2 linked regions of the Caenorhabditis elegans genome follow. The protein of the gene in region 2 interacts with the protein of the main gene of each other region in a pairwise test. Each region holds a gene or a part of one and is shown on either strand. Other genes may lie near its edges.

Evidence for each region.
Region 1: the proteins of spe-42 (region 2) and spe-41 interact in a two-hybrid assay, tested with the Caenorhabditis elegans proteins (one study listed by BioGRID).

The regions. Positions count from the first base shown.
Region 1 is NC_003281.10:3,438,474-3,445,806, forward strand, and holds spe-41 (Transient receptor ion channel domain-containing protein), read right to left. Parts: upstream 5,735-7,333; 5' UTR 5,718-5,734; coding exon 5,674-5,717; intron 5,521-5,673; coding exon 5,424-5,520; exon of another isoform or gene 5,376-5,423; coding exon 5,214-5,375; intron 4,766-5,213; coding exon 4,672-4,765; intron 4,620-4,671; coding exon 4,488-4,619; intron 4,380-4,487; coding exon 4,096-4,379; intron 4,043-4,095; coding exon 3,913-4,042; intron 3,796-3,912; coding exon 3,568-3,795; intron 3,403-3,567; coding exon 3,170-3,402; intron 3,125-3,169; coding exon 3,011-3,124; intron 2,557-3,010; coding exon 2,387-2,556; intron 2,337-2,386; coding exon 1,982-2,336; intron 1,936-1,981; coding exon 1,849-1,935; intron 1,747-1,848; coding exon 1,666-1,746; intron 986-1,665; coding exon 632-985; 3' UTR 538-631; downstream 1-537.
Region 2 is NC_003283.11:11,733,018-11,738,636, forward strand, and holds spe-42 (Dendritic cell-specific transmembrane protein-like domain-containing protein), read right to left. Parts: upstream 3,980-5,619; 5' UTR 3,952-3,979; coding exon 3,866-3,951; intron 3,821-3,865; coding exon 3,689-3,820; intron 3,638-3,688; coding exon 3,533-3,637; intron 3,486-3,532; coding exon 3,422-3,485; intron 3,372-3,421; coding exon 3,279-3,371; intron 3,232-3,278; coding exon 3,014-3,231; intron 2,942-3,013; coding exon 2,752-2,941; intron 2,708-2,751; coding exon 2,300-2,707; intron 2,244-2,299; coding exon 2,100-2,243; intron 2,050-2,099; coding exon 1,921-2,049; intron 1,866-1,920; coding exon 1,605-1,865; intron 1,558-1,604; coding exon 1,420-1,557; intron 1,163-1,419; coding exon 1,047-1,162; intron 1,000-1,046; coding exon 848-999; intron 805-847; coding exon 716-804; 3' UTR 523-715; downstream 1-522. Other genes in the region: npp-22 (Nucleoporin ndc-1), read right to left, coding at 1-27, 75-334, 377-453.

The DNA of each region.
Region 1 (7,333 bases), on a different chromosome or scaffold from region 2:
TCTCTGTTCTTCCCCTTTCTATCTCTCTTTCAAATCCATTTCCAATCGTTTACGATCATAATTATTGACTTGCGAAGCCAAGAGGAGGCTGTAACAAAAGTTGGAAGGGCGGATTCATCGATGATCGACGACAGCAATTTGGAACTGGAATGGGAACTATTTGAATCGGGTGATGATGATATGATGGGGAATACGTATAGTTAGAGGAACATGTATGGGTATTGTTGCGTACATGCATACCTTATGATTGCCTACATGCCTACATGAAGGGCCTATCTCAAGTCTGCCGACATCCCTAACATCAACTGGCTGCATATATGCTTATCTGAAGCCGGCCTGCCTACCTGTTCGCCTGCCTATCTTGAGCCTGTTTGTCTATTTCTTACTGATCTTAAACCTACCTACCTCCCAGCTTGCCGATCCATCACATCGAAGCTGCTTGTTAGCTCGCCTGCCTGCCCACCTGCCTGCCTACCTCCTGCTCGTGCTTTGCTGTATTTTATCTATCAGAATTGAATAGCAAATAAATCACAAAAGTTCCAATTTCTCGATTTATTTCAGTTCGAAGTCATAATAAACACAATGGATACATAATTAATATTTTCCGCTTAAAACAAAAACTCCGATTGCTTCAGACACCGAGGAATGTGACGTCGCGAGCTCTCGGAATGCTAGCAGATAATTCCGAAGACATAACCTGTTTAGAAGATGGAACTGGAGAATCGATTCCAGTTCTAGCTAGAACCGGGTTGTTTTGAGGTTTGTCATCCTTCGGAGCCACTTTAGTTCCTGCATCAGCTGCAGCAGCTGGACCCGGTGTCTTACTCTTAGGCACATAATACTGGACAGTGGTGTATTCCTTGTATCCTTCAGCTTCCATGGTTCGAGATGACCTCATTTTGAATCCTTCGAAAGTGTTGTCCATAAGGAAGGAATGGGCTCCGGTTGTGAGGAATGTCACTCGAGGCGGTTGTTTTTCCTCTCTCTGAAAATTCCATAAATTATATGGAAATGCATGCCTGCCTGCCTACGCCTGCCTTATGTCTACACAAGTACCAACTGAGTTAGATACGGTCGTCGGTAGACGTTTTCAGACTACAATCGGAAATAGGCGGTAGGCAGGCACGTAGGCAGGTACGCAGAGTTGAGGGGGGCACGTAGACTTTGAGGCATACTTGTATAAGTCACGTAAATAGGCAGCCAAACTTAAGGTAGGCACAGGCAGGCATGTTTGAGGTGCCTGCCTGACTTTAAGGCCCACCCCTCTAGTACCCAGGCCTGCATGAAAAGCTCAACAAACCCAAAAATGTTATTCCTAAACCAGCCGTGGACCGCACCTCCGGCGCGGCCCCCGACTTCTGGGGCTGAAAACTAACTTTTCTGAAACTACCGTAACCCTACAGTATTCCTACCGTACCACTATTGTACCACTACAGTACCCCGACTATATCCCTACACTAACCCCAACTCACTATCCCCACAGAAGCCAAAACTTCACAGACTACAAAGACTACATAGACTACAAACTATGGACACACAGAATAAGCGCTTTATATATAGTAAATGAAATGGTTTCGAAATTTTCAAAGGCTGGTGCAAATGCGCGTAAACTTCTTTCCAGACCTACAGTATACCGCATGCCTGCCTACGCCTAGCCAAGCTTACATGAAATTCGGATCTCCAAATCGACTTGTACTTGCACTCCTTGGAAGCAACGAATCGAGCGAAAACCACCATCAGAAGTTGCTGAAAATACACAAAATTTTATGTGTCAGCTCATTGTACAAATAGGCAGCAGGCAGGTTCGTAGGTAGGCGTGCCTGCCTACAACTCAAGCTTCAGACTCACCATGTACTGCTCATCTGCTGCCTGATCCTCAACATCATCATTTGCCGGCTTCTCGCCCCACGCCGGTGAAGCATAGTATCTCTTGAGCTGAAAGCAGAGGTTTTTGAAAAATTCCAATTCGAATTCAACGTACCAAATTCCGATGCACAAAATGAGCAACTACAAGAATCAAATTAAGCGGTGGCGGAGCCGCCATTTCCCACGAGAGAAACTCGGAATAAATAGCTGCTCGTGTGAATTTGAACTCCATTTCCTCATTATCCAACACCTCATCAGCTCCTTTCACAAGTATCGATGTCATCAAATTGAGTACTGTAATTATCAGAATTCCGTGATAAACAGCAGCGAGAATTTCGAAAGTTGACGAGTTCAAAGTATGTTTCACAGGATCCATGTTTGGACCAGTGTTTCCAACAACTGTAGTGAATGTTGAGGGTCCCAAGTAACCGAAAATTGACCAGAACAGGTTTTTAGAGGATGTTCCAATTCTGAAAATATATATGTTGTCTCAGATAAAATATAGAAAAAAAGAACTGACGTTTCATAAGAATCCGTGGTCTTTGTATAATCCTGATCTCCTATTTTCATGGTACTTCGATTCAAGTATGGGTCGACGATAATATTCAATCCAACAGAAAACGAAACGATGATTGCGACCATGATGAGTATGTATGTGTACGTCTTCCCAACACATTTTCCGACAGATATCTGGAAAAATTAAGTTTACTGTAGGACTACTGTAGTGGTACTGTAGGATTACTGTGATATTACTGTGGAACGAGTGTAGGATTACTTTAGGATTACTGTAGGACTATTGTAAGATTATTGTAGTAGCACTGTAGGATTATTTTAATTTGGGAACAACTTAGTATTAGACATATGAATGAGTAGTGTAGGAGGACTGTAGGACTACTGTATAACCACTGTATACTTGCTGTAATGGCACTGTAGGACTACTAGGATTACTGTGTTGGGCACTGTAGTAGTATTGTAGGGATACTGTAGCGGTACGATGACTTGAAAATATTCAGTTTCCCGCTGCCAAAGCACACACAATAGACAGTAGGTAAGTATCTGGGCAGGCTGTCTGCCTATGTAGCTCAAGAGACTTTTTTTGTTTTTGCGGTCAAAACATCGAATTCTACGCGCAAACTCCACTTACAACAGATCCACCGATTGATTTCATCATCTGAGCATAGTAAAAACATTTTAAAATACTCAGCACACAGGCGATCGCAAGACATATCTCATGGAGAAGTGAGAATTCGAAAGATGGCTGAAAATTTCAACTAATTAATTATTCAAAAGATTTCAGCCGAACCCAGTGCATTCTGTCAACGGAACTCGGATCGAAAGCTTCTCGTTTTCCCCATTTTCCAGTAAAAAATATCAGTGAAAACAAGAAAATAAAGATCAAAGCCGCATCGAACCATCTCCACCAGAAGGCAAAAAATCCATCTCGTCCGACTCTATAGAATAGAATTCCCTTCTCCAGAGCTAATCCCATCACATAGGCGTACATGAAGATTTCGAGTGCTTGTACAGTTACTTCAACTGAAAAAATTTCAATTTCACAAAAAATGTTGTAAGCTTAAGCCCGATCTTAAGCCGAAGCCTAAGGTGAAACCTTAAGCCTAAGCCTACGCCTAACCCTAAGCCTAAGCTTAAACCTAAACCTAAACCTAAGCTTTTAACTATGAAAATTCAAAATCCACTTACTACTATCAGTCCATGCAAAGTAGAAACCGATTGTTGGACGGAGAATTGCGGCGATGAGGAAGACCAAGTACATTGTGATGTGAGCAATGAATCGAGCAAGTGGAACGCACATTGTTGTACCCTTTGTTGGCATAAATGCATGAAGCATCACAAGGAATGGCATCAGGATACAGGCTCGCAGAAAACGCCAAGCATCTCGTTTTGGCTTGATTCCATAGTTGTACCAGTCTGAAAAGTGTATGAGGTCAGCTATAAGGCCATTAGAAAGTCTATGGTAGGTAGGCACGATTACGCCTCATCATCGCCTACGGCTCGCCTCAGGACTTCACCCTCAAAAACAGTTACCTGATCTGAAGACAGACTTAATAGTTGTCTGTGAATTGGTGGAGCACGTGAATTGTCTCATTTGAGAATCCATAGCCATTTGAAGACGCGGTGATGAGATTTCAGTCATTCTTTCCGGGCAGTAGTTTCTCTGAAATTCAATTTAAATTCTCCCAATATCTAAAATTTAACACAAATTCTTACATTAGCAACCATCATATTGAACTCGTCGACTCTCCATGCTTGATCTGAAATTCTGCACAAAAACCGTTGCACATTCATCTCGAGGTCTCGATAGGTTTCCACGTATTCCAGCTGATCATCGCTCGCCAATTGTTGAAGGTCTCGGGCGACAGCACACGTGGCAGCGAACACGTCATCAGTTGCCAGCCACAGGTAGGCTTCAGAGGACAGTGCACGCATGACGTCGACGAGGCGAGTTGATGAGTGGGTTGTTACGGTTTCCCGTTTGCAGGTTTTGCATTCACCTGCAACACTTTACCATTTTTGCGCGTAGAATATGGTGCATTCGGTCCTACCGACGCATGTTCGCTCTTTTGCAATGTTTGCGCGTCAAATATGATGTTTGAACTCACAAGTAATGAAATGTGGTATCTGAATACAATGTCCTCTAGTTATAAGACACTGAACAATCGAAAAATTATTCAAAATGCATGCCAGCATCAGTGGAGTCATATGTGGTGGAAAATGTGGAGAATTAGCAGATCCTGAAATTAGTGTGATGCAAATGCGCTTTAATACAAACTTCCTCACACTTACCACTTCTTTCAAGGTATGGTGCATCGACGAAAAGTACGAGAACAAACTCGACTAGTGGACGACTTCCGACGGCAATCGATAATAGAAGAGCTTCCTGTAATTCAAAAGGGCGTTACAGGACGTAGGCAAGCGTATGTGTTGTAGGCGGGTGCAGGCTATCATAGGTGGATGTAGGCAAAGTAGGCGGTCGTAGGCGGTCATAAGCGAGTGTAGGCGGGCGTTAGCAAACCTTACCTGGTCTTGAGAGGTCTTTCAGGGGTGTAGGCCGGCGTACGCGGACGTAGGCGGATGTAGGCGAGTGTATGCGTTGTAGGCGGGTGCAGGCGTTCGTAGGTGGATATAGGCAAAGTAGGCGGGCGTAGGTATGCGTAGGCGGACGTACGCTTTCGTCGGTGGATAGCCAGCCTTACCGGGCCTTTAGGCCTTTAGGCGTTGGCTGCCGTATGCGGGCCGTTATCGGGCCATTAGAGGGTCTTTAGGGTGTAGGCGGTAGGTGGGCCGGCTTAGGCCGGCCTTTAGCGGTCTTTCAGGCGTTGACGAACTTTAAGAGATTCTTCAGAAGATGTATCCATTAGAAGACTTTGAAGAGAAGAAAGGCGACCATCGTCCGGGCCATGTGGAAGCAAAATGCCCAAAAAAGATCGTACTTCAGAGTATAATTTGCTTTTCACAGCCTTATAGAAGTAGGCCATGGCTTGCAGAACCTGAAATTTATCTATTTGTCCTGTAAAATCTGATAAAGTCCTGCGTACAACTTGATCATTTTCATGCCATTTCTGATGACCATCGTATCCTTCATTATTGTCTGCGTCTACACCTCTATATTTTCCAAGATACTCTTTTATTGCGCTGAAAAAATGTAAATTTGTTGATGAAAACTTGGGTCCTGACACGAGCGAAACATCTCGTCTACAGTACCCGATGGTTGGCGCCGTGGAAGAGGTTTCGCACGGCCATTCTCCCATTTCCAAGGATCCTTGCAAGGCGATTGAAAGCACTCACCTTAATTTTAGCCTCGTAGATTCCTTCTTTTCCTTTCCCACCATTTTTGGAAAACGAAAACCTTGAAATAAATATATTGATTTTTTTTCACTCCGACATTTTTTTCCACGTATCCCTCCCCCCTCAATCCAGAATATAGCGGCGGTAGAAAAAAGTTCACGCCAATTCAAAAATTAAAATGTTTCGTTTTTTATTGGAACACGGGAAACTTTTTTTTTAGTTTATCTTTTATATTTTTCAAAATCTAGATGAACGCAAACGCGCTCCACCGTACAAACCGAAAATTGCCCAGTCAGGAGATTTTCAATCAAACTACTATTCAGTACTAGAAAAAAGAGAGCATTTTCTTGGGCTCTATAGCAGTGACGCGCACAGTAACATGATCAAATTCTCCAGTCTCTTCAGTCTCAGTCATCTTCTGCGTCTCGATGGCCACATATGGTGCAGGTGTACGAAATCGCTGAATAAAATAAGATACTTAGAATGAACCGTTCAAGCCAAGAAGAATGCCGCCCCAAAGATCGCTCAATACCAGCAGATCATCGAGACCCTTGGATCCAGTTAAATCCATGAAAAATCTGGTTTGTTTGAGATAATAAAATTGTTTACAATCCAATCCAAAAAATTATTAAGAAACTTTATTTTATTGCCATAATCAATTTACTATATATAAAGCGCGTGTCGTTCTGTCCCTATGTAGTTTGATCTTTGATCTTTGGTCTTTGAACTCTGTAGTTTGTAGTCTCAATCACACAAGAGGGGTCACATAGGCCCCGCCCCTTTTGTGACGTCATCACAAATTGGCGGGAATTCAAATTTTCTGAGAAAATATTTTGGCGGGAATTCAAAATTTTAAATTTTGAAAACATTTTGGCGGGAATTCAAAATTTAATTTTTTGAAACCATTTTGGCGGGAATTCAAAATTTAATTTAAATGTGTCATATCAATTTAAAATGTCAAGGTACTGTAGTGTTTTAGGGGTACTGTAGGATTACTGTAGGGTTACTGTAGTTTAGGAAAAATTGATTTTTAAACATTTTAAGAGGTATTGGCTTGGAAGTTGGTAGATGGTAATGTCAAGGTACTGTAGTGGTACTGTAGGGGTACTGTAGGGGTACTGTAGGATTACTGTAGGGTTACTGTAGTTTAAGGAAAATTGAATTTTAAACTTTTGAAGAGGTGTTGGCTTGAAAGTTGGTGGATGATAATGTCAAAGTACTGTAGTGGTACTGTAGGGGTACTGTAGGGGTACTGTAGGATTACTGTAGGGTTACTGTAGTTTAAGGAAAATTGAATTTTAAACTTTTGAAGAGGTGTTGGCTTGAAAGTTGGTGGATGATAATGTCAAAGTACTGTAGTGGTACTGTAGGGGTACTGTAGGATTACTGTAGGGTTCCTGTAGTTTCAGGAAAATTGAATTTTAAACTTTTGAAGAGGTGTTGGCTTGAAAGTTGGTGGATGATAATGCTAAGGTACTGTAGTGGTACTGTAGGGGTACTGTAGGATTACTGTAGGGTTACTGTAGTTTAAGAAAAATTGAATTTTAAACTTTTGAAGAGGTGTTGGCTTGAAAGTTGGTGGATGATAATGTCAAGGTACTGTAATGGTACTGTAGTAGTACTGTAGGATTACGGTAGGGTTACTGTAGTTAGGAAAAAT
Region 2 (5,619 bases):
TTGGATAAATCCACCACGCCAGGGAGTCTGAAAAAGAGAAATGTCCAATCATAGAAAAATAAATAAACGTCAACCTTGAACTGAGCTGAAAGGGGCCCAAATCGTGAGTTTCAAAATGGATACTGTGACAATGAAGAAAATGGTGGACAGATATCCGCATGCAGCACCAGCTAATCTCTTTCTAACACTGATTTCCGCTTGAAACCAATCCACGATTTGATCGAAAATTGTGATTGGCTTCTGTTGAACACGCGGTGAACTGACTGTGCGGTTTGGGGACCTTCGCAAGTTTGGTGAAGATGATGAACTGCTTGCAGCGGGAAAATCGTTCTTTCTATAATTATTCTCATTGTATGAATCTTTACTTAATTGATACCTTCTTCCCGGAGAAAATTGATTATATAGATGTTCATCTGTCGTTGTTGTGAATGAAGAATGACTATCACCCATCATTTCTGAAACAATAAATCAGTGAATTAGAGTTCCAAACGGGAAAACCCATAAATAACAAATAAAATGAAGTTTAAATGATAATTTATTTGAATTCAATTGGAAAATAATCATTGAAGTTCGAGGAAATAATAAGAAAACTAATAAATGAACGAAATCATTTCGAAAACTGCGCCAAAAGGCAAATAAATTTGAACTCGAAAAGTACATTGTCATTGGAGCGCGCTTTCCCCAACGGCGGGAAAGTTAATTTTTCAAACATCATTCAGACGACAGTGGTTACTGCGGTGGTGGTTGTTCCTTCTGTTGGTTCTTTGTCAGGTTCGTCGTCTTCGCGTTCACTCAATGAAATATCTGGAATAGATGATTATTAATGTTTAAATAAAGTTAATTTTACCTGAGTCATCAATAATTGCGTTACTCTCCTCATAGTATAGCTCAATCCCGTTAATACATTGCATTTCCTCCTCGCATTTCACACAGAAAAGAGTCACTGAGAAACAGTTGATACAGTAAAAAGCACTACAATGAACACACACTCGCACATTTCTGAATTAATAGCTTTGTTTTCTTGATCATCAATAAACAAAACTAACTCTTGATCAGACACTTTCATATCGTACTTTTCACATTTTACACAATCGGAGCACACGAATCCACGACTTTGCATTGTTCTCCGAATTATGACATCTTCACCACCCACTACATCTTTCTGTCAATTATCAATGTTACGAGTGCAAAAATTACTTTTAAATCAAATCGGAATGTCAAATTCAGGAAAAAATATATCTGTTTTTGAATACTATCAATTCGCAAAATCGGGATTTATCACTCAAAAAATACGGTACCGGTGACGTAGTGATGTAGTAAGTAGTACTGTAGTGGCTAACTTTTTTTCAATGTTTAAGTTGTGAATATCGAGGAATTGAAAATATTTCAGTCAACTCGAGACCGGAAATTCCCATTTACCTTATTATTTCCTAACATTTCTGTCAGCAAATTTCGTCGACTTTGTAAAATTTTGTTATAAAGGCTCAATGCACGAATTCTTACTCGATTCGGAAAGAAGTAATCTGCCAATACAAGTGTTTGCCTTCCAAAATATGCCTTCAAAAATTAAATATATCTTAACAGTACTCCTCAACTCTTCAAACCTTCAATCGACAAAGAAAAAGTGCAGCGATAAACATGAGAAACATCACCATATTTTCTGTATAGTTTGGAGGATTTGGTTCGTTGAAACATCGTCTCCAACGATTTTCACGGTCTCGAATACTTTTAGTAAATGGACTGAAAACATCGAGAAATTCATTCATCACATCTGACATTGAACTATTTCCAGCAACTTTCAATTCATAATGAGCAGGAGTATCGATATTTGTTCGGTTCATTAAAGTATGAACAGTTGATAGAGTCTGAAACTTTGAATCTATAGATTTGAAGTCAATATAATTTTATTCATTTAATTACCGTAAATATACCATAATCAAGCATACACATAAAGAAAGGAGTGACACAACTGACAATTGTGATGAAAATATCTAATCGAAATTTAGGTCGCTCTTGTTCTGTCATTTTCCACTGACCTCGACTGACATACTAAACGGTGTCTAAGATTTTTAGAATGATAATGAACCAGAGAAACCTACCTGCTTTGATTCATTTGCCATTAATGGCATGACTTTACGAGCTCCGCGAAATGCACAATCTTGATCAATTTTTGTAAATTCTTTTGTGAGAAAACGGTTTTTAAAGTCGTCATTATAGTTGTAGTTATACATGAACCGAAGTGTCTGAAAAATATCAGTTCAAAATTTTGTATGTTAACATATTACTTATTTAAACTCACATAGATGAACGGCCATATGAGCAATCCTGGCATGATACAATATCGAAGAATAAATGAAATTATATTGATAATCCGTATGTATACATTCACAATTCCCATCAAACTTTTCTTTATACTTGCTCTCAAGTTTGCAGTTGTATCATCTGCAGCATTTGGTTTACCATCATCAGATGACTGGTATTCAGCTCGAATGTTTTTCGCCTTTTTTATCTCTTCTATCACTGGATTCACTTTCTTCAGTGCCCATTTTGCTGCTTCAATGTGTACGTAGAAAATCTTTTTCACCGCGAATTCAATTGCTTGAAAGTAAGCTGCATAAAATGGTACAGCTGCTCCTTTAACTCCTTTTCCAATGATAGAAGGTAAAGAACATACTTCCGTTGAGAAACCCTTTGCTTGATGGCAAATCTTAATGTTTTATAATAGGATTGATATGTTGACTGATTGAATACCTTTGCAGTTTTCTGAATCATTTCACAAGCATCGCCGTGGCTTCCAAAAAATCGAGCTTTCCCCTTACAATAAAAATATGCGTCGTCGAAAATATCAAGACATTTTGTATAGGGAGTTTTGAGCATATTTCGACATTGATTTGACAAGTTGGCTATAACTCGATAATGTCGCCTCATGATGTCCACAAATCTTAATTGAAACAATATCAATTTAATCAAATTACAAGAATTTGACATTTTGGGTATCCCAATTGCAACTTACTTTGTCATCTTTTCATCTAGAACCAATAGCATTTTCTTGACCTTATTCATTGGACCAGATACATTTTGAAGAAGTGCACGAAACCGAGAAACAAGCATAGCTCCTTTATCCATTACATTCCCTTCCACATCATTTCTTGAACTCATAACATCAATTTGAACGCAGGCAACACCAGAAGCTACTTGATGAATATTTCCAATAACATTCATTGCAGGACCCTGAAATTAGTTTGAGATGTTCCCGTGAATAGATGAATTGATAAAACTTCAAAAGCCATTGTGACAAGAAGAATTAAAATTATGTTTTTGATTTTTGTAGTCAACATGACGTGGATAGAAATCATAAAGTACGTCATCATCTGAAACGAAATATTTTATTAATTCCACATAAAAATCCTGAAGTACTTACTTTTGGAAATATCAAAGTGAAAATCAGAAAAACGTGGATAATTGTGGATATGGAAGTTCCAATACTATATTGAAAATATTTAACTTTAGATTTAGGATATGATCTACTTACAACTCCGGGTATTGTGAATATTTGAACGACAACAGAAAATACATAACTATTCCAAATAATTCAATCATTAGGATGTTTCGGAATAGAAGTACAATAGAATTAGCTCTGGAAAAATAATTTTAAGATTTTCTTTTTTCTCAAAATAATTCCAAAAACCTTGTTCCATCTTCGAATAAATTGTCATAAATCCCATCATCTTTTTCCTTTTTCCATGGAGGATATAAAACGGACAACCATTTTTTCAAACGTTCAGAATATCTTAAAACTCGGTTTTGACCTGATTTTTCTCTGAAATTTTTCATGTGTTTGAACAAAATCCACACTCTAACCAACCGTCTGATATTATTAACCACAAATTGAAACTTTCTCACAGCTCGATTGGCTCGACGTTTTACATTCCATAATCCAATTAAGCCCATAGTTGATACAATTCAGTTAGATTTTAAAAAGGTGAAATAAATATTTTCACCATGATACGTTTTGAAAATTTGTGAACCGCTGGCAAACAGATTTGAGTTCACGTTTTGAACATTTTCTCCGAATTGGGAAACTGCAGGTGTCCCTTTTCTCGGCTTTGCTTACTAAAGAGCCAAGAGAGCCAAACGGATTGGCATTTGAGACCTATGTGATTCAATAGCTCATGTTTTGAAACGGTTATACGTGGAAAAGTTAGAATAAGGTTTTCAAGCAAAATGTGCCTACTTGTGTGCCTATGAAACCAATTATTTCGAATTTTTCAGAACTACGAGCTTCAATGGAACTATAGTATACACTAACTATAGGATATACATCTCTCGGAACCGCTGGCAACAATATTAATTTTTCAAACATTTGTGAACTGAATTACAGAATACACGTTACCAAAAGTACATCGATTGTTTATTTCTTTTTATCACCAGAAGTACATCTGATTTCGGAACAGGCGTTCACTAATTTTCGTTGCTTCATTGCAATGAAAAAAACGAGTTGCTTATCGTAATGCTTGTTATCATATCACTGTATCTATTGCCACTTCATATCTCATTTCCTCTTTTTGTAGGCCGATTTGGGTCAATCCGATATAGAGAACACCTATAAACAAACCCCTTTTTTTTCATTTTATGACGTGAACATTCAGATCCTCAATAAAACGGATGGGTGTGGTTATGTTCTTGTCCCCTCGAACACAACTTTTAATTGTATTTCTAATTCTCTGAAGAATTTCAGATTTCTGAAGAGAAGAATTCAATTGTACTGTCATTCCCGTCCCTTTTTGGGGCTTCCGACGCAATGTTGCCTCTTTTCAATAGATACGACGAATAAAAAAAAACAAAAAACAAAGAAAATGATTTTGCTTCCGATTGCTCACCAGGCTTCAATCTATACTGTACATTTTTCCCCAATAAATATAAAATTTGGATAGTAGAGAGACAGAAAATCAAAAAAAAATATATCGTAACTTGTATATTGTTCCATAAGAGAGACGCACAAAAGGATATATTTGATGGTGTGTGAAACCCGAAATCGTCGTGGTTACCCCCGTTGTCGGCGACAATTTCAACAGACTTTTCATACTGACTGGTTTTCGGTCGACAGTCATTTTTCACCCACTTTCAATTTGACTAAACTTGGTCAGTGTTCGGTTTTTCATTGGTTACACAACCTTAGATTTTTTATTCTTTGTGTTTGATCCCTGATTTGACTAGAAAACATTAATTTGCTTGTTTGATACTCAATTTCCCATGTGCCAGTTTAATTTTGACAGTTGTAGGAATTCCTGGTTTCGTTAAAAATTAGTATTTCAACCATTGATTTGTTTTTGAAGGTATCTGTTAATCTATCAAGAATTTATTGTAAGAAACCACAAACTCGCCAAAATCTTGGTTTTGTATTTATTTTTCATATTTATTTTTTGTATTATCTATTTTTTAAACTCACTTTCTTACTGACTTGGCTTACATAAATAAAACCGTTCAAATTAGATGATAGATGACTTTCAAGAACTTAAAATTGGCAGAGAGTTACCTTTTTCAAAATGATGCGTATAATTCGGCACAATTTAGTTTTCAACACAATACAACATAAACAAAAAGTAAACAAAATTTTTA